Rattus norvegicus: one gene and its partners. The protein of the gene in region 4 purifies or fractionates together with the protein of the main gene of each other region. This does not show direct contact. Links are inferred from orthologs where the notes say so. Each region holds a gene or a part of one and is shown on either strand. Other genes may lie near its edges.

The links.
Region 1: the proteins of Fbl (region 4) and Ddx24 purify together in Homo sapiens (affinity purification with mass spectrometry; 3 studies listed by BioGRID and IntAct, with this or other methods). This does not show direct contact. The link is inferred for Rattus norvegicus from reciprocal best matches to the Homo sapiens genes FBL and DDX24.
Region 2: the proteins of Fbl (region 4) and Dcaf13 purify together in Homo sapiens (affinity purification with western blotting; 3 studies listed by BioGRID, with this or other methods). This does not show direct contact. The link is inferred for Rattus norvegicus from reciprocal best matches to the Homo sapiens genes FBL and DCAF13.
Region 3: the proteins of Fbl (region 4) and Tgs1 purify together in Homo sapiens (affinity purification with mass spectrometry; 3 studies listed by BioGRID and IntAct, counting the BioPlex papers as one, with this or other methods). This does not show direct contact. The link is inferred for Rattus norvegicus from reciprocal best matches to the Homo sapiens genes FBL and TGS1.
Region 5: the proteins of Fbl (region 4) and Rrp9 purify together in Homo sapiens (affinity purification with mass spectrometry; 3 studies listed by BioGRID and IntAct, counting the BioPlex papers as one, with this or other methods). This does not show direct contact. The link is inferred for Rattus norvegicus from reciprocal best matches to the Homo sapiens genes FBL and RRP9.
Region 6: the proteins of Fbl (region 4) and Nolc1 fractionate together in Homo sapiens (co-fractionation; 3 studies listed by BioGRID, with this or other methods). This does not show direct contact. The link is inferred for Rattus norvegicus from reciprocal best matches to the Homo sapiens genes FBL and NOLC1.
Region 7: the proteins of Fbl (region 4) and C1qbp purify together in Homo sapiens (affinity purification with mass spectrometry; 4 studies listed by BioGRID and IntAct, counting the BioPlex papers as one, with this or other methods). This does not show direct contact. The link is inferred for Rattus norvegicus from reciprocal best matches to the Homo sapiens genes FBL and C1QBP.

Annotation. Positions count from the first base shown.
Region 1 is NC_086024.1:128,340,216-128,343,715, forward strand, and holds part of Ddx24 (ATP-dependent RNA helicase DDX24), read right to left. Parts: intron 434-3,500; coding exon 1-433. UniProt on the Homo sapiens protein: ATP-dependent RNA helicase that plays a role in various aspects of RNA metabolism including pre-mRNA splicing and is thereby involved in different biological processes such as cell cycle regulation or innate immunity.
Region 2 is NC_086025.1:72,055,882-72,059,381, reverse strand, and holds part of Dcaf13 (DDB1- and CUL4-associated factor 13), read right to left. Parts: intron 3,291-3,500; coding exon 3,201-3,290; intron 2,830-3,200; exon of another isoform or gene 2,805-2,829; intron 1,649-2,804; coding exon 1,493-1,648; intron 1-1,492. UniProt on the Homo sapiens protein: Part of the small subunit (SSU) processome, first precursor of the small eukaryotic ribosomal subunit.
Region 3 is NC_086023.1:21,339,492-21,342,991, reverse strand, and holds part of Tgs1 (trimethylguanosine synthase), read right to left. Parts: intron 2,078-3,500; coding exon 1,919-2,077; intron 1-1,918. UniProt on the Homo sapiens protein: Catalyzes the 2 serial methylation steps for the conversion of the 7-monomethylguanosine (m(7)G) caps of snRNAs and snoRNAs to a 2,2,7-trimethylguanosine (m(2,2,7)G) cap structure.
Region 4 is NC_086019.1:92,600,407-92,603,706, reverse strand, and holds part of Fbl (rRNA 2'-O-methyltransferase fibrillarin), read right to left. Parts: intron 2,078-3,300; coding exon 1,895-2,077; intron 1,796-1,894; coding exon 1,593-1,795; intron 767-1,592; coding exon 596-766; intron 1-595.
Region 5 is NC_086026.1:115,994,815-115,998,979, reverse strand, and holds the start of Rrp9 (U3 small nucleolar RNA-interacting protein 2), read right to left. Parts: upstream 2,801-4,165; 5' UTR 2,758-2,800; coding exon 2,662-2,757; intron 2,423-2,661; coding exon 2,340-2,422; intron 1-2,339. UniProt on the Homo sapiens protein: Component of a nucleolar small nuclear ribonucleoprotein particle (snoRNP) thought to participate in the processing and modification of pre-ribosomal RNA (pre-rRNA).
Region 6 is NC_086019.1:254,868,949-254,873,158, reverse strand, and holds the start of Nolc1 (nucleolar and coiled-body phosphoprotein 1), read right to left. Parts: upstream 2,801-4,210; 5' UTR 2,749-2,800; coding exon 2,629-2,748; intron 1-2,628. UniProt on the Homo sapiens protein: Nucleolar protein that acts as a regulator of RNA polymerase I by connecting RNA polymerase I with enzymes responsible for ribosomal processing and modification.
Region 7 is NC_086028.1:56,200,386-56,204,340, forward strand, and holds the start of C1qbp (complement component 1 Q subcomponent-binding protein, mitochondrial precursor), read right to left. Parts: upstream 2,801-3,955; 5' UTR 2,800-2,800; coding exon 2,574-2,799; intron 2,147-2,573; coding exon 1,996-2,146; intron 314-1,995; coding exon 220-313; intron 1-219.

The DNA of each region.
Region 1 (3,500 bases), on a different chromosome or scaffold from region 4:
CCAAGCAGAGGGCGCCTTGGGTGTACTTTATAAACAGCAATTTGGTCACACAACTCCTGCTTTAACTTTCCAGCCTGCTCTTCATCCAACTTTTCTTCTCTGTCCTTACTTTGCTTTTCCTCGACTAAGGAAGAAGGCCCTTCACCAGCATCATCATCACAGAAGAGCCCTGCCTGGGCTGAGGCAGCAGAAGCGCCAGCCTTGGCTGTGGCCTGGACCCCAGAGTCACTGGGCTGTGCTTCAGTCTCAATTGTGGCCTCTTCAGGCAATACTCCAGACTTCGCTCCATCCTTGCAAGGTGAGCCACGATGGGCTGCAGCTCCTAACCTCGGTGGCACTCCAGCGCTACTTGGGATGGGTGGAGCCTTCATCTTATGCCACTGCAACACTGAGTGAATCATCGGGATGGCAAAAGCCAGCGTTTTCCCGCTTCCTGAGAAGTAAAGCAAGACCAACAGAAATCCATGATGCGCAAGTCATTGTTTGAAGTTCCTGCCTTTGCATAGAAATAAGGAAACCTCAAAGAGTCACGTGCCTCCCTGACTGACCCAAAGCACCAGCACTCTACACAGGTCCTCCAGCACAGGGATAGCACGCATGGTGCAGTGTGAAGTCACCAGAGACACCAAAGTGAGGAAACCATAAAAGCCTGAAGGGTCAGTCTTGTCCTGTGGAGAATCTGTACAGCACATATCCCTAAGACCCTTTTCAGTGAAGGAAGGAATAAAATAAATCACTCTTTTCAGAAATCTAAACATGTTTGACTTTATGCGTGAGTGTTTTCAAACTGACCTCTGAAGGCATAATGGAGCCCATAACACCTAAGGGTCAACCCAGGAATTAGAAGTAGAGATTTTCTCCTTAACTCATTTTACTTTCTGCATTTCAGCTACTCATGGTCACTTATGGTCCAAGAAGTTATTAAACTGATAATCCCATAAATAAGGATTTCAAAAGTTTTAAGCCATATATCACTCCAAATAGTAAGGGGACTCGAACACTGCCTGGCGCCATCTACACAAGACAGGAGTCTTCCTTCTGTCCCACTATAAATGTTACCCACCCATGAATATTATCAGACTATGCGCCCTGCTTATGTTCAGGTAGCTCTTACTTTATCTACTGGTCCTACCACCTGAGAGTAGTTACCCCAATGAGCAACTCAGACAGGCTAGAGCTAGAAGCTGTAAAGTGTTTTTCTCGAAATTCTCGAACTTAGAGAAAAAAAAGTCATGAATTGGTTACTAAGATCTACAATATGAATGAATGTTCTTTCCATGAAATTGTAAAGAAGTTTATGTTAGTTTTGCTGTTATATCAATCTGCAGAAAGTATGACCATGGAGCATGAATGCTCAAGATATAAACACATTCAATCTATAAATGTTCAGGGGAAACAATACAAACAGGGTTCAGCAGTATCTATCTCATCTGTGTTTGGGGGATCTTCTAGGGGACCTGAAAGGTGTCCTTCCTGGATACTGAAGTTGCCAGGTAAGAATGCCCCAGACAAAGTCAATGCACCAGCTCTGGAAGAAAAACAGTCCCAGCCATTAGCTTCGGAGAGCTCCGATGGGGACGGGCCAAATGGGCCAGTGAGACGGCTCAGCTCAGCCGGTGCCACTTAAGTCTGAGCACCTGAGGCCACTCCCAAGATCTACATGGTGGGAGTTATGAACTGACTCCCACAAGTTGTCCTCTGGCCTCTATAAACAGGCCTTGGCTTGCACAAACTTATACATCAATGTATACACATACAGAAATAAATGTTTTTTAAAACTTTGAAAAAAGGGAGAAAAAACTTTTATGAAGTTTTCAAAGAAAATGACAGTTCTAAGTGAAAAATAACCAAACAAGCAAAGCATTAGAAGAAAGAGCTCAAACAAACAAACAAAAAACCACAAAACACCTGGAAAATTTAAGGGAAAAAAAGACAGTAAAAGCCGAAACATAACAGCATCCGTATTTAACAATCTCAGAAAAGTAAAACTGACAATCAGAACTATCTAGAAAAAATTCCTTTAAGACAAAATACAAAACAAAGGCTACTTTTGTGCTATAAAGAATGCAAGCCGAAGTCTTCCAGGCAGACAAAAGATGGTGGTTTAGGAAAAATATCATTCAGCCATGGAAATATCCATCCACATAGGAACTGAAGTGTATCAGAAGTTACAAAAACAAAAGAAACTGTTTTCTTTTTAAACCTCTTTAAAAAAAATTGCTTACAGCAAAACAGTAAAAGCATATTTTAGAATTTCCATCACAAAAACAGAAATACAAAACAAAAAGCACCAAGGAAGGGGAGATGGAAATTAGCCCTTGAGAGGTTCTCATGCCACACATGAGGCACTGTATCACTCGAGGGTAAACTACAGTAGATGCATATGTACAACTTGTGACGTAGTCTGTGACCCTAAAGCAAACACTGAAAGACACAGCAAAGGCCTGGCTACAAGAGAGGAGCCAGACAGTGCCTTGAGTGTATACTGGGTCTCATTCGCAGTTCTGAAATGAAACCCTTGGCACTTTTTGATATGTATATTTAGTTGTGGTATTTAGTTTTCCTCTACATTCCTGGTGTAAGACACAGACGCTCAAAAGGGTCTTTTTGTAAATTAATTAGACTGTGAGCTAAAGACTAATTGTCTCCAGAAAACTGCAAGATAGGAACTGGTGGCTGCAGGGCTGGAATTTCTGCCCGCATGCATGCACACACGCGCGCATGCACGTACAGACACACAGACACACACACACACACACCCCTCCTGACCACCAGAGAGAGGGACTGAAGATCAATCTCCAAAGATGGAGGTTTTTATCAATCATGCTCATATAATGGAAGCCCTATAACACTACAAACAATTTAAAAAGCTTCCAGGCTCGAGACTGCATAAAAAGGTGACATGCCCAGAATGGGTGCACAGAAGCCCTTTGCCCTCTTACTAGCCTCAATGTTTAGCCCTGTCAATCTCTACCAGGCTATTCCCAAGTTATATAGCCTTTAAGCCTGTAAACACTTCTCCATGAAGTCTGGGAGTCATTGAGAAAAGTATTAAACCCTTGGGGGTGGGGGTAACATGGGCTCCTTAATCTGAAGCTGAATAAATCAGGACTAGGGGATGCTCAATAAGGAAGTAGTCTTGTTAAGACTCGGAACAGAGCTTACAGGGGAATGACTTTCATTCCAGGTATGTCAGAAGAGAGCTGCACTATAGGACATCTGACTCCAGTTGAGGTAGAGAAATAGTTGGCTTGGTAAAACCTCAAGAGAACCTGTTCTATCAGAAGTGCATTGTAGTTACAAACATCTTGTTTTCTGTTGTTTTGAGACTGGGTCTACATCTCCCTGGCTGGATTGGAACTTGTTCTGTAGACCAGGTTGACTTCAAACTCACAGACCCTTCTGCTTCTTAAAGGCACTAACCTTCATGGTTTTTGTTTTCAAAAAGTTCCTAATTCAAGTTGAGTACCACAACCCAAACATCCAAATTCCCAAATGCT
Region 2 (3,500 bases), on a different chromosome or scaffold from region 4:
AATCACTATCTGTGTTTACTGTTGTTTGATGACAAATTGCCACCTTGGACTTTAAGATGTTTAAAATGTTCATATCTATCATCACAATTTTTCCCACAATAAACCTATAAAGTACAATCAGAGACACAGTCAATCTCCTATTTAAAACAAATAAATACAGAGAATTATGACTTGGATGAGGTGGGTGGTAAGGCAGGCTTTAACACGTTATTTGTAACTGTAGCCTGTTCTTCTCTCGTGTTCAAGGCCAAGCTCATTAAAGCTGGCTTACCTCTCAAGGCCGGAGCTCACTTCTAAAACCAGAGTGAATATGGGAAGTGAGAGAGAGGCTGCAGCCAGGAACACAGAGCTCAGACAGAAATCCCAGACTAGGGATCAACAAACTTTTTCCATAAAGAAACAGAAAGAAAGTATTTTAGGTTTTATGAGCCAAGTGATTCCCTGAGCAATTATTCAATTTTTCCTCTGTAGCATAAAAGCAGCCGCAGATATACAGGAAGAGGGTCTGCCTGTGTTCTGGAAAGGCTTTAAACATGCGGGGGAATACACTGGCAGTCCCTGCTCTAGACCTGTATGTAGCCTCACACAGAAGCATGCATACAGGAGCACGCTAGTGCAGGATAGCCTTGTCTGCCTGCCTCTTGGCAGCACTTCAAGCCAAGCTCACACTGTACTGCAGCACATCATGTCCCAACAGCACCCCATGAACAGTCAGAACACTCTGCCACCTCGGCTTAACCTCCCCTCCCTCTCTCACCACGTTGGGCCTCTGAGTACAAAATTTACATTTCAGGATTTTCTCTTATAAAAATTAACATGGTAACTTCCTATTAACACTGAGGCAAAAGAAAAAGCATCTTGACTGAGTCTTCTGGACAATAAGGGTCATTATTGTTATGTGTTCAAAAAAAGATCAGAGAAAGATCTGGAGCCCAAGGACACATTAGCCCCCAGTTCAGCCCCTCTTCTTAAGTTCACATACAAATATAGCATGCAGTAGCCCACCTCCAAGTCCACTGAGACTAGGAAGAAACTCAGATTGTAAAGCAAAAGAAGAAGACCTAATAACTGTAATTATCATGCAGCCCACAAGTGGTCATGCATATTATTATAAATATGGACAGTATGTTCAATGCTCACTCTCATGACTGCCAAGAGGCTTAAGAAAAGGGAACATCTTCCTCAAAGCACAACGGTACAATCTGATGAAACAAGAGCATGGAAAGCACAGAAAAGTAAAGTTAATGTGAGGCTTAGGCACAAAGACCACACACTCAAGACCCATCTGTGCCATCCAAGGTCTGTCTCAAAATCAAAACCAAAAGGAGCCAAGTATTCATTTGGAGTCTACTCTGATGTGCAGCTGAAATTTCACAGAACACAGATATAACCTGGACAACACATTAAAGCTAGAAAGCCATTAAAGTGTAGAAACAGGGATACAATTTCATGGCAAACAATAATCAGAACACATTATTAAGAAGACCATTACCTCAATAGGGTTAAATTTAACACTACTTATACTGTCAAATCCCCAGTTCATTGAGCACACAGGGCTGGTTCTTTGTTCATCCCAAATGTCTACTTGCTGTCCACACGTGGCAAAGGCCGGGTCTTTCCAGTGATGATCAATGCCAGTATATACTGTCTTTAAAAGCAAAGAGCGTGTTACATAGGCTCATTACTACTTTAAATCAGCATATTTAAATTTTTTAAAGAAATTCTTGCTACAAAGACATTTCCCCCCTCCTCTCCCACCACCTTCTGCCACAACTGTGCAACTGAGTCACCTACATTTGGAAAGTCACAGGGCTGGCATATCCAGAATGCAATAGCTTCACCTTGAAAAAAAGTCTAACTGATCATGGTATTCCCCCTAGAGTAAGTCTAAAGAAATTCTTTTTTTTTTTTCTTTTTTCTTTTTTTTTCGGAGCTGGGTCCCGAACCCAGGGCTTTGCAAGCGCTCTACCACTGAGCTAAATCCCCAACCCCCCCCAACCCCTAAAGAAATTCTTTGAGACCCTTCCTTAAAGGGAAAAAGAGTATCATAAAATGCTAAGGCGTTTTATAAAAATGAAATGGAATTTGCTTTGGAATTACTAATTTGTTACACCTGGGCATTTTCCCATCTTGCACACATTTCCTACCTCCATCTCCCTTTAGGAATATTGATGACTTGTTGAAACCTGAAACATCACCTACATATACACTAGTGTGATAATGAAATAAATGATGGCTTTCAAAGGCACATATCTAAAGAGTAAACCTAACTTCAGGATTTTGTCTGTGTAACGTAAGAATATAAGCAGTCATTACGTAAAACATGCTCTAACCAAACCACTCTTAGGCTCTAACTGACCCAATCTGACTTGGAGAACAATTTGTGAGAAGTCTAAGATTACACAGGAAGCATACACTACTCTGTGTTTCTTTGAGAAATTCTGAGCTTTGTCTAAGATCTATGAAGATATAAACCAGAGAGAAACTAAGCCATTATTTTCCAAACATTTATCTTACGCAGTTTCTTCTGTGGCCTTCCTTTAAGAACTACTTCATTGCATCCCCTATATGACTTGTATGACCTAACACAGCCAGTATTTATTAGCCACCGAGAAGTCAGACTCTGTTACAAAGAACACCAAAGAGATGTTCATATTCTTTAGCTTCAAAGAACTTTAATCACATAAAATGTTGCATTATTATTAAAAACAAACCATCTCAGCTGTTAATTTTTTTCCCTTTTGGAATTACAAAAAGAGATACAGAATTTTAATAGGCCAAGCATCATTCCATGTGTTTGGTACCTTTCCTAACACCGTGTACAAGCATCATTCCATGTGTTTGGTACCTTTCCTAACACTGTGTATAAGCATCATTCCATGTGTTTGGTACCTTTCCTAACACCGTGTACAAGCATCATTCCATGTGTTTGGTACCTTTCCTAACACCGTGTACAAGCATCATTCCATGTGTTCGGTACCTTTCCTAACACCGTGTACAAGCATCATTCCATGTGTTCGGTACCTTTCCTAACACCGTGTACAAGCATCATTCCATGTGTTCGGTACCTTTCCTAACACCGTGTACAAGCATCATTCCATGTGTTCGGTACCTTTCCTAACACTGTGTACAAGCATCATTCCATGTGTTCGGTACCTTTCCTAACACTGTGTACAAGCATCATTCCATGTGTTCGGTACCTTTCCTAACACCGTGTACAACGGTTCCTCCTCCTCTCCGCAGCCTGGTCCATCCATTTTCCACTGCTTCACAGTTTTGTCATCTCCGACCTACACACAGTTATTTTATGATGAGTCTAATGACCAGTAACTGTAAACACAAATATCAAATTGCCAAGTCTCTCATTTCAAATAGTAACATACACCACTCTTTCATTTTCACATTTATCGATGCATTTATTTTCTACTTTGGCATAACAAAAATTTGTAACAAATATATAAAGCACAAAAACCCACAACAAAACAAAAAGCCCAGTATGA
Region 3 (3,500 bases), on a different chromosome or scaffold from region 4:
GCGTCTGTATGCTATCTTCCACATTTCTCTGGTAATCGATCAGAACTGCGATTTTTCTGGTTGCGGCATTAACTACTGCTCATCAGCTATGGGAATCGGCAAGTTCTAAATGGCTAACTGCCTCCCATACTACAGTGACTTTCTCAACTATTTTATTTATAATGGACAGGCGATGATTCAGTTTTTATTGACACTTTATGAACATTTACATTTTCAAAAAATATTTCACGTAGGGCTGATCTCTAGTGTACTGTGTATAAGCATCACCTTTCAATAAAACTGATGGCCAATAGGCTGAGGCAGGATTGGAAAGGGAGACATCTCAGAGGAACCCTGGGAAACGGTTTTGCCACCTGCAGGACTTGGGGTAACATACGAGCCATGCGGCAGACACAGATTGGTGTAAACGAGTTAGCTGAGTTATGTGCTAGTCCAGGGCGAAGCCTAGCTTTAGGCCTAAGCCTTTAGAAATAAGGAATAAGCCTCTGAGTTGTTATTAACTAGGACGTAGGTGGAAGAGTCTTCGCTACATTATTATTACTTGTGAGTGCTTTGCCCTCATGTATGTCTGTCCATGGTGTGTGTGCCACATTTCCATGTTTTTAAATGTCAGAGAAAGCAAAGAGCAGTAGCCAGTGGTTAGGAGGCTGCTTCAGCATAGAAGGAATAGCAGAACCCTTGCCATGTTCAGAAATGAAGTTACACTTAGCTGGAGGGAAGAAAATACTACCCTCCCTTTCTATCAGAAAGAACCTGCATTTCTCAGAAGGAACTTTCTTTGGGAAAAAAAAATGATGGGCAAGTGTTTCTGTTCTCACTACCTACTAAACCTTTAAATGGCTCTTCAGTACCTCCAGTGAACGTTTTCTATTTTCCCCAGTCGTTCTCCTAATAAATTCCCATGTACTTTCTATAGCACTCACTCTTTTACAAATTACACAGGTGGCATAGAATCACTTAACTCCTCAATAGATCAAGACCTCTCAATATAAAAACCAGTGTCAGTCTCTGAGACTAAATTGTCTTTTAAGATCATGGAGGTAGGGAAGGACACGGACCTGAAGCCACGGCTCACTGGCTGCTCTTCCAGAGGTCTGAGGATCAATTCTCAGAAATCCCCTTTCCTTAACCTCAGTGTAATGAAATATGATTTTCTCTTATGCATGAAAACAGAGCAATAATTATACATTAAACAAATAAGCAAGCAAATCAGAGAAGGAAAATTCAATGAAGAATTCAAGTTTTCACTGCTAATTAATTATAAGTTTCTGTATTAGGTATATCTTCATCAGTTGCTCTTTTTAATGATGTCCATACTTCTGTTACCCTGCATAAGTTGCTACAAATACAAGTTAAATCTGAAATTAGAACACAGATGGTCATATGTGCACAACTGAGTGATACTCCACAGGCAATGAACCATCATTCCTCGAAAGAAGTCAACATCATGCTGCAGGGGTAACTCTGTGGTAAAGTACCTGCCTGGCTCAAGAGAAGTCTTGGGTATGAGAGTCCGGGGAGCTACTACAGATTACAGGAAGCTAAGAAAACACAACAGCTAAACGCACATCACACTACTTTATGAAAACATGAGTTACAGAGATAATTTACTATCATTGGTTAACCTTCCCATACAAGGGACTGGTCCCAGGTCTTATTGCTATTACCATTGTTGTTGTTATTATTATTATTTATTATTACAGCAAAAACCATTTTTCTTAGAAAATACATACTAAATAACTGGGAGTGGCATGATCTATGTGACTGGATCAGAAAAAGACAACACACATAGAATCAAATTATAAATGTTGGAAATAGCTGAATCCAGGTAAAAATGGTATGAAAATTTTTACAATTTTTCTGTAAATCTACAGTGGCTTCTAAATAAAGCTAAACAATACATCTATATTTTATTTACCTTTGTCCAATTTGATCCCATCATCAAAGCGAGAGAAAAGCCTGTATCTCTGGGCCCAGTATTTTGCCAGCTCCGGAACAGAAGCTATTTCAGGTGGTAGGCCATTTATCTTTTTGTTCTTGTTCTTCTTCTTCTTCTTCTTTTTCTTCTTTATTTCTACTAAAATAGAATGTAATACAGCTGCTGACCATGAAAAGAGAATGGAACTAGGGAACTCGTAAACAGCAGCTATGTCAAATAATCACATCTTGGACTGTAGCAGACCACACGTGCAGTGACACATGCAGAGAATCAGAGCAAAACAGAGCACTACTGCTTCAGATTACAGCCCGACTGCCATTTATTGGCTTGAGAAAACTGCCTGTGTGGACACTGATCTCTGCCGCCACACTGGCCCTGGCATTTATTGGCTAATTTCTTTTTTCTTTTCATTCCTCTCCCTTTCCCTCCCTCCCTGCCTCCCTCTCCCTGCCCTCTCTCTCTCATGATTTCTTTTTATTTATGTGCACTGGTGATTTGCCTGTATGTATATCTGTGGGACAGCATTGGAACCCCCAAACTGGAGTTACAGACAGTTACAGGCTGCCAGGTGGGTGCTGATTGAACCCATTCCTCTGGACAAGCAGCCATCTTACTGGAGCCTTCTCTCCAGACCTGTAAGCTTTAATTTTACTCCTACAAAAGGAACAGATGAGGAATGCACAGTACTTTACTAATTTCATTTACAGCAGTGATGGGAGGTAAGGACTAAACATCTGAAATCTTCCAAAACCAGAATCCTACAACACATCTGGTCCCCACTGTATCAGACACAGGATATCCAACCTGTATACCAAAAGCACTAATACAGGTCTAAAAATTGTCGACAGCCACATTGTTTTAGTGGGTGAATTACAGAAATGTAAATGTTTTTCTTTACTTTTTTTGTTATTACATTCCTGGAATTGAACTTAGTGCCCGGCGGTAGACAAACATATGCATGCAAGCATCCATCCATTGACAGGGTTGGGTAATTTAATTTGTCCAGGCTAGTGTTGAACTTGTGGTCCTCCTGCTTTTAGACTCCTGAGAAGCTGAGGTTGAAGGTGTGTTAGCAGGGTCACATTTCATTTTAAGACAACATCTTTCCAAGGCCCATTAAGCTTTAGCCCTGGCCATATAACACAAGGTGTCTCAGAAGTATGGTGAGTCAACATTTAGAAAAACACATTATTAATTGATTATCAGGTTCAAGTCTCCGGAAGATTAGAAGCATCTATGCAGCACTACTTGTAGATGAAGAGAGTTGCCAGAGTACAAACAAGATTGCAGTAGACAGAGAATAAAGCCCTCTCACATTCAGATGTTCTAAGGTTAGGACTATCAGGTCATTGCAAATAGCCAAAAGTGTTGAGGGAAAAGTACTGCTGTCACCCACCTCAGCGCCCAAGCAGCACATGAATGTCAGCTCTTCTAACACTGGCAATGAAAGACCATAGAACACTTGAAGTCTACAGTGTAACAAGGCAGGAGATAGGTGACAGGAGACTTAGGTACATGTGTGCCTACCCAAAGGAAAGGTGTCAACTAAACCAAGCATGTT
Region 4 (3,300 bases):
TGATGTTAGGTACCACTCCTTCAGGAACTCTAACCATCCTTTTTTTTTCCTTTTTCTTTTTTTTGAAACCCTGTTTTTCCTTTTTCTGTGTAATCCTGGCTGTTCTGGAACTCACTGTGTAGATCAGGCTGGCATTGAACTCAAGAGATCTATTGCCTCTGCCTCTCCAGTGCTGAGACTAAAGGCTAGACCCATCATGTTTTTGAGACAAGGTCTCTCACCGGTGCTGACGGCTCGGCAGGCCAGAGACCACTGGCCTGTTGCTGCATTCTCATGCTGTTCCTATGAGGGTATACTGCCACACTGGTTTTGTTTTTCAAAATGGATTCTGGGTATCAAAATCAGGTACTCATGACAGTGTGGCAAGCACTTTAATGATTGAATCTCCCCTTTTAGCCCTTGGACATAACTTTTTCAACCAAAATAGTCTGGTATCTATATTCCCAGCTCTGGGTTACTTTAATTGACTACACTCTCTGGTTCACAATTACAAGCAGGAGTGGTACTGAAAGAACTCTGCTTCAAGCTGTCCCTCTCACAGAATGAGGGATGAGCCTGGCTTAGGTTCCTCCATCCCCATAACCTGCCCACTCACCGGGCCAACAATGTCAGACACGTGGGAGACGGTGGTGCCTGAGGCTGCCCCAAGGTAGAGCACCTTGGCCCCCGGCTTGATGTGGATCTGGTCTACGCCACCCAGGATTGCTGCGGCCAGCTTGGAGCGGAAGGGGTTCCAGGCTCGGTACTCAATTTTGTCATCTCCTTCCTGAGCCAGGAGAGATGGGGACAGAATCAGTGTTGGATTCTTGTGCAGGGCATCATTCCCTGTAACCCTAGGGCCCTCAAAAGAAAGTGCATTCTAATCACTATGTAAGAACAAAATGCAGATGTACAGCAGGGACCAGGAGAGAAGCCATTCTGCCCTCCCATGGAGACTCGGGGAGGGAATAACATACAGTAAACACGGAAGTGAAAGACAGAACTAAGCACTAGGCACTATGTCCTGTCCTAGCACCAGTTTCAGGTGCTGGACAACAGTGAGTAGAACACATATTCTGCCCTAAGAGGTAAGTACTCTCTGAACTAAGTCACTGAATTAAGTACAAACCGGCACAGGTGACAGGCTATACAGACTAAGCCAGGAGAGGATTTGAAATCAGAACAGAGCAAGGAAAGTGTGAAAAGGGAAACAGACCAGGAAAGGCTGGGGACACTTTTGAGCCACCCACACCACCCCGGGAAGAACACTGCAGACACAGAGTGGGAGATGAACAAGGCAGCCTAGGGATGGCCATAGAGACAAGGACATGGGAGAGCTAGGTTGTGGCAGTGAGGACGGCTCAGACAAGGAGGGCGATGTAAGAGCCTCATCAGAAGGAGCAGGCAGTGTGTGACCAGAGGCAGAGGACAAGGAAACAGTTTAGTATGGAGCTAGAAGACAAGGCCAGGGAATTGGGAGGGGGAGCTGGGATCTGCAGCAGCTCTGAAGCTACAGCCTGCCTGGTCCTCTGTAGGACACAATAGCAAAAAGACTAGACTGTAAGCAATGTTATCAGCTGGGCCTGTACTCTGGACAGGGGTCCGGAACTCACGGAGATAGAGACTCTCTTCTCTCCATACACAGATTCTCCAGGAACCAGATTCTTTGTGACAAGGGCATCCTCCTTTCCGCGACAGATAAAGACTCCTTCATGCCGATGGGGCTCCACCATCACATTCTTCCCTGACTGGTTTCCTCTCTTGCCTCCCCGGCCACCACCTCGACCCCGGCCGCCCCCAGACTGGAAGCCTCCACCTGTAAGAGAGAGCTGCAGTAGGAGAGGGAGGCCCCCACGTCTTCCCTTCCTATGTCCTTTGAGAACCTGCTCTAGCCCCCCATGTCTACCTCGCTCACCTCGTCCACCTCCACCTCCTCGTCCCCTGAAGCCACCGCCTCCTCCACCTCGACCTCGACCTCCACCGCCAAAGCCTCCTCGTCCACCGCCAAAACCTCCTCTCCCTCCTCGGCCTCCTCCTCTACCACCTCTGTCACCAAAGCCGCCTCTGCCACCAAAGCCGCCCCCACGGGGGCTGAAACCTGTAACAGACGGAAACAGGGGTCAGGGCAACGGAGCATAAGAAGTTAAAGGACCCTTACCCGTCAGGTCCACAAACGTTAGACGTTGGCAAAGCATAGGGCTCGGGGCTCAGGGTGATGTCTACCATAGCCGGAACACAGTAATCAACAATGACAGTGATCATCAGTCCTACAGCACAGAGGGGTAAACGTGAACCTCCCAGAAGGGAAGAAACAAATCCCAGAAAACTAAACCCAATCAGAGTTTTCTTGAAATATGGTATCAGGTATCCCAGGCTGGCTGTGAAGTCCCCACACAGATCCTGATTCTTCTGTCCCCACCTCCCAAGTACTGTATTACAGGCCTGCATCCCCGCGTCCAGCACCATACCCCTCTTATGAGATGCACCAGCAAGAGGCCACTAAAGGCAGAACATGCTGCAGACTATCTAACCAGGGATGGGCAGAATGCAGATACTCTGGTTTTCTTGGTGGGACAGCTTCACACAACTCATTTTATCCCTCGTATAGGAGCCCCACATGTACATGCTTGATAGCAACAGGATCTGTGATGCCCTCACAGTATCTTCAAGACCTCTCGATAAAAGGGCACCCCCCCTCAGTCTGATGCTAGGTCCTGCTAAATCCATCCCTCCCAGCATAGGGGGGAAATTAACAAAATCCCCAAATTGCCCCTTTAAGGATGAGCAATGGTCTAGATGGGTGGGCTAGATAGAGCACACCAGCATGTCAGCTTGGGCTTAACCCCAGGGGTAGCAGCAGCCTATGCCTGTGACTCTAACACTCGGAGAGGTGGAGGCAGGAGACCACAGTGGGCCTCATGGTGAGACCTTTCTTCAAAAGGAGAACAGCTGGGCTGGGGATGAAGGGCAGCAGTGGAGTGCTCCAGGGCTTGCCCCTTTGCCCCCAGCCAGAGAGCAGCAAGCAGTGCATGGGACTGGGTGATATTTAGCTTTTCTGTGATGGAGGTGGAGCACAGAGTTTATCTGAAAACACAGCTTGAAGATTAGGGGTGGTTCAAAATGATCTCACTTGATTTAAACTGTAAAAACCTGCTCGAGTTTTTGTCTCAGCCCTGTGACTATACCCCATTGACAGCTTCAAACAATTTTTGTTGTTTTTGAAACTTTTATTATCTCTTTTAAAAAAACTTTATGAACATTAGTGTTTTGCCTGCATGTTTATCTGTATGAAGATGTCAAAGAGTTAGAGACAGTGGTGAG
Region 5 (4,165 bases), on a different chromosome or scaffold from region 4:
AGAACTCTCGAGCCAGGAGTCCAAGGCAGCTGCACCCTCTATCACAAGCCTGCAGACATCCGGTCTGCTACCCGCTGTTTCTCAGCACCCTTGCCCAGGACTTCCACCAGAAGGGATTTTAAAACCTGTGAGGAACAACAGTGTCCTGGAGCATGTCCCAGTACTCAGGAGGCCGAGGAAGGCAGATCTCTCTGAGTTTGAGGCCAGCCTGGTCTACATAGCAAGTTCCAGGATAGCCAGAGCTACAAAGTCCCTGCCTTTAAAAAAAAAAAAAATAGGGGTTGGGGATTTAGCTCAGTGGTAGAGTGCTTGCCTAAGAAGCACAAGGCCCTGGGTTCGGTCCCCAGCTCCGAAAAAAAGAACCAAAAAAAAAAAATAAATAAATAATGTCTGAGGAAGAATAAGGCCAGAGTTATTGTCCTTCCTGAATGTGCCCAATCAGACTCTTCTTTAAGGTCACACACCGAAAAGCAGACTGCTGGTTAGAGGTAAGGGGGCTCAGACTTTATAAACAGGATTTAGCAATTCTGTTTTTTTGTTTTGTTTTGTTTCCCAAGACATATTTTCTCCATGTAGCCCTGGCTGGCCTCAAACTCAAGAGATCTGTCCACCTCTGCCTCCAGTTGTTGGGGATTAAAGGTATACACCACCACGCCCAGCATCACCCTTTGTTAAAAAATCCCTTTTGAAAGAAACACTGTCTCAGCCCTGAATTTAATGTGTGTATACATTTATTTTTACTTTTGCCCATGTTAGAAGATCAGCAGAAGAAAATGGGGTGGTGATTCTGTAGTTAATTAAAATACTGAAGAGTGGGTAAAGATTGGTCAGGAAAAAAATGGCTGATCGGCTAAGAGCTCTTGCTGCTCTTACAGTCCCAGCATCCCTCAGGTGCTGTCACAACCACCTGACATGACAGTTTCAGGGGATCCAATGTCTCAGGTCTTCCCTGGGCATCAGCATGTAGACAGTGCATACAAACTCGCACACACGCGCACAAATAAAAACAAACAGAAACCAAAGTGTTTAGCACAGGTCCTGGAGGCAGAAACAGGCAGATGTCTTTGAGGTTGAGGCCAGTCTGATCTATACAGCTAATTTCAGGACAGCCATGGCTACATGGAAAGTCCTTGCCTCAAAAAAAGTTTCTATGAGCAAGTTAAGACAACACATATTCGGGCTGGAGAGATGGCTTAGCGGTTAAGAGCACTTACTGCTCTTCCAGAGGTCCTGAGTTCAAATCCCAGCAACCACATGGTGGCTCACAGCCATCTGTAATGAGATCTGATACCCTCTTCTGGTGTGTCTGAAGATAGCTACAGTGTACTCATATAAATAAATAAATAATAATAATAAAAAAGGCAACACATATTCACTTTTAGAAGCAGAATTGATAGCCAGGTCTGTCTGTAATCCTGGTACTCAGGAGGCAGAAGCAGGCAGAGCTCTTGAGTTCAAGGCTAGCCTGGTCTACAGAGTGAGTTTCAGGATAGCTGCTACAGAGAAATCCCATCTGGGGGTATACTACAGAATTACTAAATCCTTTTTATACAGAAAGTTTCAGGATTCCCGGGACTAAGAATCTCCACCCCAGGTATAACACCCTATCCTTGGAAACCCTGTAGCCATCGCATGACTAGCTGAATGAGGAAGACTTCAAACCTCCCTCAACTCCATATGCAAGTCACCTGCCCGCTCATCTTTTCAGCCTCCCACCCTGGCACACTAACACCCCAGACTTGTCACGGATCCCTGAACCTCTTCCCTACCGCTCCACCACACTCCTCATCTCTCCAGGCTCAACTTTTAAAAAGGCTTCTTCCGTTCTCACAACACATGCCTCCAAGACACACGCCTCCCTACACCGCCTCTCTCCACTTGCCTGCTCCCCTGTGTTCCTAACGGTGAAACAAGTCCCTAATGTTAGAAAGGCTACATGTGTGACAATACACTCTCTAGCTTTAATTCTTCAGAAAGCTGAAGCTGTAGGATCATTTGGACAAAACTCATCTCAAATGGAGTCCAAGGACTCCAGTCATGTGGTGCTGTGTGAAAACTAAGATGTGTTCTGTACACTTTACCCCTTGCCTCTCAATCAATCCAGCCCTGTGCCTGCCTCCATGTCATGAAGCCAAAAAAGGTCTCAGGCTCTCCCTCCCCCAGGGGCCCAGGGTCCTTCCCATAGACTCGCATCAGAGATAAACGACATTTCACTGCCAGAAATTGAAGGAAAGACCCAGGATCTCGAGCCAAACACCCAGCTCTGTTACCAGTCGCACCGAGTTTTTTAGTCACCATGAGCCTCAGTTTATCCTTTCTCTCGGTAGAAAACAACTCACCTCTCACTCTCAGAATCGCTGGAAATCTCCTCATTCATTTTGCCGCCACCTTTGGACTTGCCTCTGCTTGCAGCAGAGTCTACCTGGAAATACAACATCCTTTCTTGGTCAAGAGCCCCGGGACTGAGAAAGGAACCTGGCACCTAGCCCTGGCCAAGCAGAAGGTTTTCCAGGATTTGGTGGGTGGAAGAAAAGAGATGGAGGCTCCCTTCTGAAAGAGCCCTTGGAGAAGATACACACATGCTCCGATGGGGGCCCTGGGATGGAATGATGGCTGTCCCAGTAACTAGATCAGTCGCGCCCAGGAAAACTCCATGCTCACCTTTCGCCGCCGCTTGCCGTCCACCGGGGCCGCCCCGGGCCCGGGAGCTGGCTTTGCCCGTTTACGAGTTGCCACGGCGGTCGACATACTGTTCATCAAGGTGCCGCAGCCTCTACTGAAGAACTCACATGGCTGCTAAACCCCGGCCACATGGCAAGACCCGAAACACTGATAGGGTCCCACGGCGAGGCGGGCCCCGCCTTCCGCAGCTCCATTGGACCCTTTAGAAGATCCTGTCACGCCTCCAATCGTCTATTGGACCGGTTCAGTTAGCCACGCCTCCAAGAACTCCTATAGGCTCCGTCGCCAGCCTGGAGTAGGAAGCAAGTCTCTCCTGCTGTTTCCGGCCTGGACCTGTGGCGCTTGCGCTCTGCTAACTCCCTGCTTCCAGGGAGGGGTGGGGCCAGGAGGGCATGCCTGTGCTTGCATATTATGGCCACAAGGGGGAGCTAGAGGTGCGGGGTTCTGTGATTTCCCCCACCCCCCGCCGCCCCCGCTGGGGCGGCGATAAAGCTAACCCAGCCAGGCATTTAAAACATAGGGAATGGATTTCCGGCAGCTCTGGAGAGGAGACAGTATCTGAACCCAGAGCCAAACTCACTGGGCAAATAACATGCTGCGTGTGCCTAATCAAAGCTACATGAGGGGCGAGTCAGTCCCTGCGGCTTTCGATATGTCTAGATTAGTGTCTTCTCATCTGTAGGACCGGTCACCAACCTCGGCCTACCCAGCCTCTGACTCACCCCACTAGCGGCCAAATAACTGGAATTCTACACCACCCCTAAGCTCTTTCCCCTCCTCTGGTGGTTGCTGGGAAATCCCTACCAAAGACAAACCGAAAGCTCACGAAGGGTCACTAGATGGGAGCCCAGACTTGGAACTTGTTTCTTAGGAGGCACACTCAGCATTCCTAATACCAGACAGAATAACAGCCACCTCTTCAAGGTTCCGTTTCTTTTCGGTGAGTGTCCTCTGGCCCTGCCCTGGAGTCCTCCACAGGGCAGGGAAGGGCGGGTTAAAGTGGCTTTTGCTCTCTGGCAGTTAGTTGAAAGCCATTTACCTGAAACCTTGGCTGGCACCCCAGAACTCTAGACTGTTAGCAAAAGGCTTCTTCACCACTTGGTCCTAAGCTCTAGAGAGGTAGATCCGGCTGCAGAGCTACTTATAGAGTCCTTGTCCTATAGTTCAGATGATTCAGCCCTTGCCAGATGACTGACAGAAGGAGGAAATGTTCTAGAAAGGGAGGTGCCCCAGAAGTGGGAGGGGTGAGCCCGCTTTCACTTTTTCTACCACTTCAGGGCACACCTCAAGCAGGAGAGAGTAGGGAGGCAACTTCTCCCTAGCCCCAGGCTGGGCAGAACTGACCGGGGTTCCTTAACCTTGTACTTGCAACTTAGGGAGGAGCATCTCTGAGGTATGAAGCGCAGTTTTGAAGATGGGGATTTGTATACCAAGGAGGAGTAGGAGAAAAAAGGCAAATCTGAACGCTCCCTATCTCCTGCCC
Region 6 (4,210 bases), about 160 Mb from region 4:
ATCAATGTAATTTGTCAGCCTGGCATGGTCCCAGCACTTGGAAGACAGACTGGCAGATCTGTGAGGCCAAGGCCCAAGAGGACTATATACAGAGTTCCAGGACACCAGGGTTATGTAAAGAGACCTTGTCTCAAAAGTTGTTTTACTGGCTGGAGAGATGGCTCAGTGGTTAAGAGGTCCTGAGTTCAAATCCCAGCAACCACATGGTGGCTCACAACCATGTGTAATAAGATCTCATGCTCTGTTCTGGTGTGTCTGAAGACAGCTACAGTGTATTTATATATAATAAATCTTTTTTAAAAAGTTATTTTAAGGGGCTGGGGATTTAGCTCAGTGGTAGAGCGCTTACCTAGGAAGCGCAAGGCCCTGGGTTCGGTCCCCAGCTCCGAAAAAAAGAACCAAAAAAAAAAAAAAAAGTTATTTTAACTACCTACTCAATTTGAAATGGATGTTACATCTTAAGACTTTTCCTACTTGTATAAATTAGGAGAAAAATATTCCACTTACATATCACCTAACACTGAACATGAAAACTTTATAGCATAGCTATTCCTATGCCTTTCCATCCACACTTTTACCAGCGCCCACATCTGTTAACTCCAGATCCACGCAATCCTGACACCTGTGGCTTCATATTTTCTAACTATTAACTTTTTTCCTAAACAATTGACTTTTAAAAGTCAGAAAGGAAAAAAAAAAAAGTCAGAAAGGCGGGGCTGGAGAATTGGCTCAATTCCCAGCACCCACATGGTAGCTCTCTACTGTCTGAACTCCAGAATCTAACACATCACACACATTTACATGCAGGCAAACCACCAACGTGCATGAGAGAATACATAAGCAAACAAAGGTTCCAGGTGTGGTGGCATATGCCTTAAATTCTAGCATGTGGGAAGGAGAGACAAGTAGAGATGAGTTTAAGTCTACACAGTGAGCCCCAGGACAGCCATAACTATATATTGAGACCCCATGTCTTAAGAAGGAAGGGTGGGGGGGTTGGGGATTTAGCTCAGTGGTAGACCACTTGCCTAGCCTGGGTTCGGTCCCCAGCTCCGAAAAAAAGGAAAAAAAGAAGGAAGGGCGGGGAGGAGTAAGGGGCACTGGAAGAAGGTCCATCGGCTAAGACCATTCAGGAACAGGTGGGCATGTATCATCAGATCACATGCCAGGCTGCCCTGGCTCAAAGAACTCTCTTATGTGGTCTGGTGGCCTGTAACCCAAGATTCCCAGGATCTAAGGCAGGAAGATCATAAGGCCAAGGCCAGGTCAAAAATGGCCACAGAAACAGGAGGGGACCAGGCAGTTATGATGGTGCAGCCTTTAATTCCAACGCTGAGGAATCAGAGGCAGGGGCATCTCTGGGAGGCCAGTCTACTCTGCATATGAGTTCCAGGCTAGCCAGGGTTACACGATGAGACATAGAAAATAGAAATAGAAATAAAGCAGAAGAAACCTAAATTGTCAGTTATGCTATCACCCTGAAAAAAAAAAGACCGTAAGTCTACACAGTCTTTCAAGGTGTTTCCATGAACACTACAGCTTTTCTTAAGATGCAGACGAGACATTTCACATTCCTTCACTTAATTTTGCTCTTACATGGATTTGAAGTGACACAATAGCTGTCACTCATCCCATGGTCCCTGTGTGTCTACAATGAGATTACTGGCTTGTGTATTTTTCGCTTGGTGAATCTCATTCACTCAAAAGCTGTAAATAGGGCTGAGCACACCTTTTTATCCCTGCTTTTGGTAGGCAGAGTGAGAGCTGAGTTCAAGGACAATCTGGTCTACAAAGTGAGTTGCAAGACAGCCAAGGCTACACAAAGAGAAACTCTTGTCTTGACAACAAAAACCAAAATGGCATCCTGCTATGTTCAGGCATGCTTAGGATGAGGAGGCTGAGGCAAGAGGGACAGAAGTTTACATCCATCTTCCACTCTACAAGGACTTTTATACACAATATAAAGGGTTGAACTTTGTTTTAAATAAAAGGATGCCCAGGATCATCAATGTAGAAAGTGGTGGATCTGGCCTAAGCCTCCATTTGCTTTATATCACTACCTGAAGCTCCAAGCCCAGTGCCAACTTGACAGGGAAAGATGCTCACGCTTTCTATGGTATACTGAAAGCAGCCTATCCCTGCACTCATTCATTAAGTAACTAAATAAATAATGATATCCTAGTTTTCATTGCTACGCAGTTTATCCCTGCACTCACTCATTTTTTAAAGTGTATAAATAAATAGGATCCTAGCCTTCACTAGTAACAATTTATCTTTGAGTCTCAGGTAAAACTGCAACCAAGTGTAAGTCCAACAAAAAGTACAGCAGAAGCAGGCACCGCCAAACCAATGCTCCGGGAGGGATCTATCGCCACATGTCCTAGGTCACGAGGGACCCATGCCTGCCACCACTGCAAAACTCACCAAAAGCCGTAAGATTCGGAGCTAGTCAGACGTGATGGAAAGAGATGCCGAGACCTTAAGCCTCAGAAAGGTCGGCAGAGAGGCTTCACAGACATTAGACTGACAGACCCCAGACCTCGATTTCTTGACTTCTAAACCTGACAAGGCCTAGACTACCTTGGAGAGTCGTCCCACCCCGGCCCGCAAACCAAACCAAGGACTCACAGCGCCTGTCGCTTTTGCAAATTTACTGGCCACCTCTGAGAGCTGGTTATCTCGCAGAAAGCCGAGCACAAGGGGATAAAGGTCGCTGGGAACCACGCGGCGCAAGCCGGTATCCGCCATACTCCGGGTTAAACGCGTCACTACCGTTGCGCACGCGGTACGACTGAAGAACTCCAGAGCACAGCCAGGGTAGAGGGCGGGCCCAGTGTCGTCATCACGTCGCGCGGCGCGCAGCGGAAGAATGGCCCCCACGAGGCAGGGCTCCCTCCGCCCCGGAGGCAGGACGCATGCGAAATCTATAAGTTCCTTCCGGTCTCACACGCGTCGTCATCCTGTAAAGGGCGGAGCCCACTAGCCTTCCCCCCCAAGGAGGCGGAGCTTTACGTCAGAGGTCACGCTCCCGTCCGAGGCGGGAAAACTTGCAACTTCCCGCGCATTATCTCTGCTGAATGGACTTCTATCTATAGAAACGTAGTTTCCAAGCCCCGGCTGCTATTCAGACCCCACGATAATCAAAGGAATGGAGAACTCGAGTCTCTTTCACCTTTCTAGAGGTGTCGTCTACTGCTCAAGCTCCCACCAACAATGACTTCTTCACATCCTTCACACCCAGTGAGACTCAAATCATAAGGCAATCCTAAAAGTTGTGGTGACAAAGGTGTTAGTATCCCACATTGACTGTCAGTCACAGCTAGGTTTAAAGACTGTTATCCCAACCATACACAACTCGAAAAGGGGGAGGAGAGCACGGGTTCATTCCAGAGAAAAGATCAAGGGACTCAATAACCCTTTCTTCCTTAAGTCAGAAGTCACACTGAATTCTGAAAACTCCACTATCAGCTATTTTCCAGGTCACATTAGTTATCCCTCACGAAACAATAAAGATGCACTTCCTGTGAACACCTTTTACTTTCCTCAAAACAGTCGCTCCTTCTAAAAAGAAATGTTATCCTATTTCCCAGAGGAGGTGCTTCTATCCATCCATCCATATTAATTTTTTTAAAAAAATCCACGCGCCAGGACGGTGATCAAATTAAATTGGTGAGCTTACCTGAAACACTTAATAGACACAAACCCCAGTTGAGAAAACTTTTATTCTCATAGGCTTGGTGGCAAATGCCTTGAAACCCAGGGTTGAGAGACAAAAGTAGGTAGATCTGAGGAGAGAGGGAGAGGAGGGTGGGGCAAAGGAGGAGGAAGAGGAGTTCTTTTGAGTTTGAAATACTATAATCCCAACACTTTGAAGGCAGAAGCAGTTATCCCTTGAGTGAGATCCAGGATAGTCAGGTTTATACAGAAAAACCCTGGCTTCAGAAGACAAACAACAACAACAACAAAAAAAAAAAAAAAAAAAAAACCAACCCCAAAACTGTATCTTCTCCATCCCACAAGTGTCTGTATTCTAAAATATCTCCATGCACAGGCTGTCACTGTAAGAGAGTAGGCAGGAGAACTGGGGTTTCAGTCCAGTCTGAACAACTCTACAGAACCCAGAAAGGGATTGGTGTAAATGTTAACCCATAAATACCTGAGTGTTCAGATACATGACAAGGCTGTACAAGCAGGGTGCAGTGGCTCCCTC
Region 7 (3,955 bases), on a different chromosome or scaffold from region 4:
CAGGCCCGTGATAAACCCTAAGCCCTTAGGGGACAACACTCTACAAACATGGTCCATCCACAACTCCAGCTAAAACTCACTCGGAATGACTGCATTACAGGTCTCAGGAGGCTCACCCTTCACCTCACCCTAGCAGGGAGGATTTTAAAAAGAGTGAAAGTGAAACAGTTCTTGCTTTTGGGGACAGAAATCTTGGCTGTCTGCCATGTCACTGCTTACCTCCTGCTCTTCGGCCTTCTGCCCCTGTGAGGGCTCCTCTTCACCATCAAAGGTTGGAGGGATGCTATTGTTAATGTTGAAAGTGACAGTGATCCTAGAAAGGCAGGTAGAGATACACCAAGGTACACATTAACCTAGTGGTAACAGGAGAGCAAGGCCCACTGAAACAATGTCTCCATCCTAGCCACACAGGGAAGTGAAGAGAATTTCATCTGAAGTGTACCTACAAGTTAAATGACTACAGCTGTGGATGAAGCTGCCAGGTTGGTGTCCTGGGGTCTTCCCATGGAAGCTAATGGAGGTGGACAGCCATCTGCCCCGGAAAGCCTCACAGCCACTGCAGAGCAGATTCACTTTGCACAACCACAAACTAGGAACTGAAACACCTAGTGGCTTCTTTCCCTTCTGGGGGGATTCTGGAGCTCAAATAAGTACCCTGCCCATGCTTGGCGGAAGTTCACAGCTGCACCCTGGCCCTTGTGTGACTGTAAGAATTCTTATGTGATGGACAGCACCTGTTCTAAAGTCAGAGACAGTTCCTTTGTCTCAACACCTGGAAAAGAAGTTCCGCTTACACAGATTCAGAGGGCCAACCAACCCAAGAAGAGTGTACTGGGGGCTGCTCCCTGGAGTCCAACTGGGCAATGCCTTGCTGCCACTTTGCCCCCGAAAAAAGAATGGCAAGGTGAACCAAAGGGCATGTACAACCTGCGATAGCCCAGACTAAACCTACTTCTTCCTTCCCTCCCTCCTTCCCTCTCTTATTTTGGTTTTTCAAGACAGGACTTATTTGTGTAGCCTTGGCTGTCTTAGTACTTGCTGGTGGACCAGGCTGGCTTTGAACTTACAGAAATCTACCTGTCTATGCCTCCCAGGGTGATAGAATTAAAGGCGGTGAGCCCCACCGACACTCAGCCTGGCCTTGAACTTTCTAATCTACACACACACACTTACTGCTAAGCTTATAAACCCCCGCACCCCCAATAAAACTTTCTTGTACACTGTGCTCCTGAAGCACTGGGGATGGATCCTGGAGCCTCACACAAGCTAGAGAAGCACTTAAGAGTCCAAGTAGACTTAGCCAAGGAAGACTGTGGGTGAATGGGTAACACGAAACAGCACAGACAAGGGTTTAACGGTTTTAGGGGTGCCAGGTGTGGTGGCGCATGTCTGCAACCTCAGCACACAGGTGTCTGAAGCAGCAGGACCCAGAGTCTGAGCCCAGTCTATGCTACACAGCAGCCACACAGAGACCTTGTCTCAAACCGAATCCCTTGAGGAGAGGAAGAGCTAAGTTTGGCTAAGAACCTTCTCCCTTTGTCTGATGGCCTTTCTACATGGTAACTTCTTCCTGTGACTTAACAGTTACACACGTGCACTTTCAACTATTATAAACACAAGCCAGACGGGAGTTCTAAACAAATGATTTACCAGTACTATTAAACAACAAAACAACAACCCAATGCTTAATCCAGACTGGCACAGCACCCCTCATTAATAACCCAATAACTGCGTTTGCCCCTCCCACAGGCTTCCCTCTACATACTCTGGAGCTGCTTCAGGTCTCCTTAATACAAGCCATAGAAGCTTGTATTCATTCAGTGAATGCACTCCCTGGAACCTAAGAACTTTCCCAAGTTTAATGCTTTCTTAAAGCCATTTTATCAAAGCATTGGGCCTAAGCTCAGGCTCTTCTGGGGATGGTCAGAACAGGATGCTGTAACCAGGAACTTCTGACTTGAGAATCCAGTATACAACCCCTGGGCCAGTACTTACTTTTCTCCGGCAACTTTGCGCAATAATTTAGCCTCCGTGCCGTTCACTTCCAGCTCCCAATCTCCAGACATTTTGGGAAGGGACTTATGCTTCTGGATCTTCTTTTCTTCCTTAATTTCATCAGTCAAAAATTCAACAAAGGCCTTGTCTCCTAAAAGAAAGGCCAAAATGATCAACAGTGAGAAAAGGTAGTTGCTCTAACCGATTGACTCGGACTGCGTGTAATCTATTCTTAAGGCTGTTCTAAGACTGTAGCGTAAATCACGCCTCAAAACGTCCGTTCCTCACTCTATAAAAACACCAGGATATATTTACTGAGCTGAACTGATATTACTTATCATGAGATGGTTATTTCTCATCATGAACTCATTACTATTACTTCCCGTATAAAACAAAAGAATTTCCAACTATCCTCTTCCATGTCCAAAAAGACGTGGACCCAACAACCACACTTTGAAACCACGACCCTACCGACTTTGCTAAGCCACATTTTCAAGACGCGAGAAGGGGAACCTGCGATCATGAGGGCCAGTTCCGAGCTGGATCGCCGCATTCCGACTAGGGTGCGTGAACCTTACCTTCCGTGTGCAGAGCGCCGCAGCCGCACGCGCAGGGAACCGGGGGCTGCAGGAGGCCAGAGCGCCGAGCGGAGCCGGCTCGTACGCTGAGCAAACCGAAGGGCCGGAGGCATGGCCGGGGCGCGGGCTGCAGTAAATGCCGAAGCGGCGGGGCCGGGATGGAGGCTCGGAGGCCCGTGGCGGCGGCACCCAGGGCGCGGGGCACGCAGCGCAGCAGAGGGAGCATCGCGGGGTGGACACGTGCAAAGGGAAGGACGACCGGGCCAAGACACCGTGTGACCTCGCGAGCCGCCGGAAGCCCCGCCCTCGCCCGGGAAGCGCTATCCACGTCGGAGGACTGCAGTACCCGGGCCGGACCGCACCGCGCCCTCTGCTGGGAGCCGCCAGCGCAGCCCGAGAGGCCTTGGCTCAGCTGTATTCTACCCTGGCCATCAAATCTCCCTTGCTGCCCGTTCTCCCCAATTCACCTGCTTTTCTCAACCCAAGCCACACTTTGTTACTTCGTGGAATACGCTCAGGTCTCATCCCAACAAAGATCACTTAGCGGTCTTCTGAAACCGCCTAGTTCTGAAAAGCTCAGACTGACCTGCATGCAGCTGCTGTGGAGTGGGCATCCAGGCCTCACATTAGACCCAGAATCCCAAGAACAGGATGAAGGATTTATGCTGGAAACCTCTGCACCCCCTAACAATTCGTGTACCGGTTTTAATGGACCATCGTTTTTTTTTGGGGGGGGGGGAGCAGGAATAGATGGCTTTCATCATCACATTTAGGTTGAGAATCAGGGATAACAGGCTGGAGACAGGGCTCAGTGGTTAAGAGCACTGTTGCTCTTACAGAGGCCTGGAGTTCTATTGCCAGCATCCACACGCCTTCTCACAACCATCTACCTCCAGTTCCAGGGCAGCAGACACCCTCTTTTGACTTTTACCAACACCATGAACGAACGTAGTGCAGACATGCAGGCAAAACTCTCAAGGACATTAGAAACACACACACACAAAACAAAACCAACAAAATCCAAAACCCAACCCAAGAAACAAAAACAAAATTTAACCAACCGAATTTCACACACACACACACACACACACACACACACACACACACACACACACACACACACCCCAAAAACCCCGCTCATGCTCTCTGGTCCTAGCATCTGGGAGGTAGAGGCAAACAGCCGAGTTTAAGGTCAGCCTGGTTACACAGCATGTTCCAGAACAGCCAGGGTTACATAAAAGACCTCTCAAAACACCAAAAGCAAATGTTGGATACCGAGTCTTACTGAATGAATGGCAATGAAACTACTGTTTAATATTCTAAACAGCATTCTTTAAATAAGGGAAAGGAGGCCCAAAATAAGAGGCCACACAGATCGTATA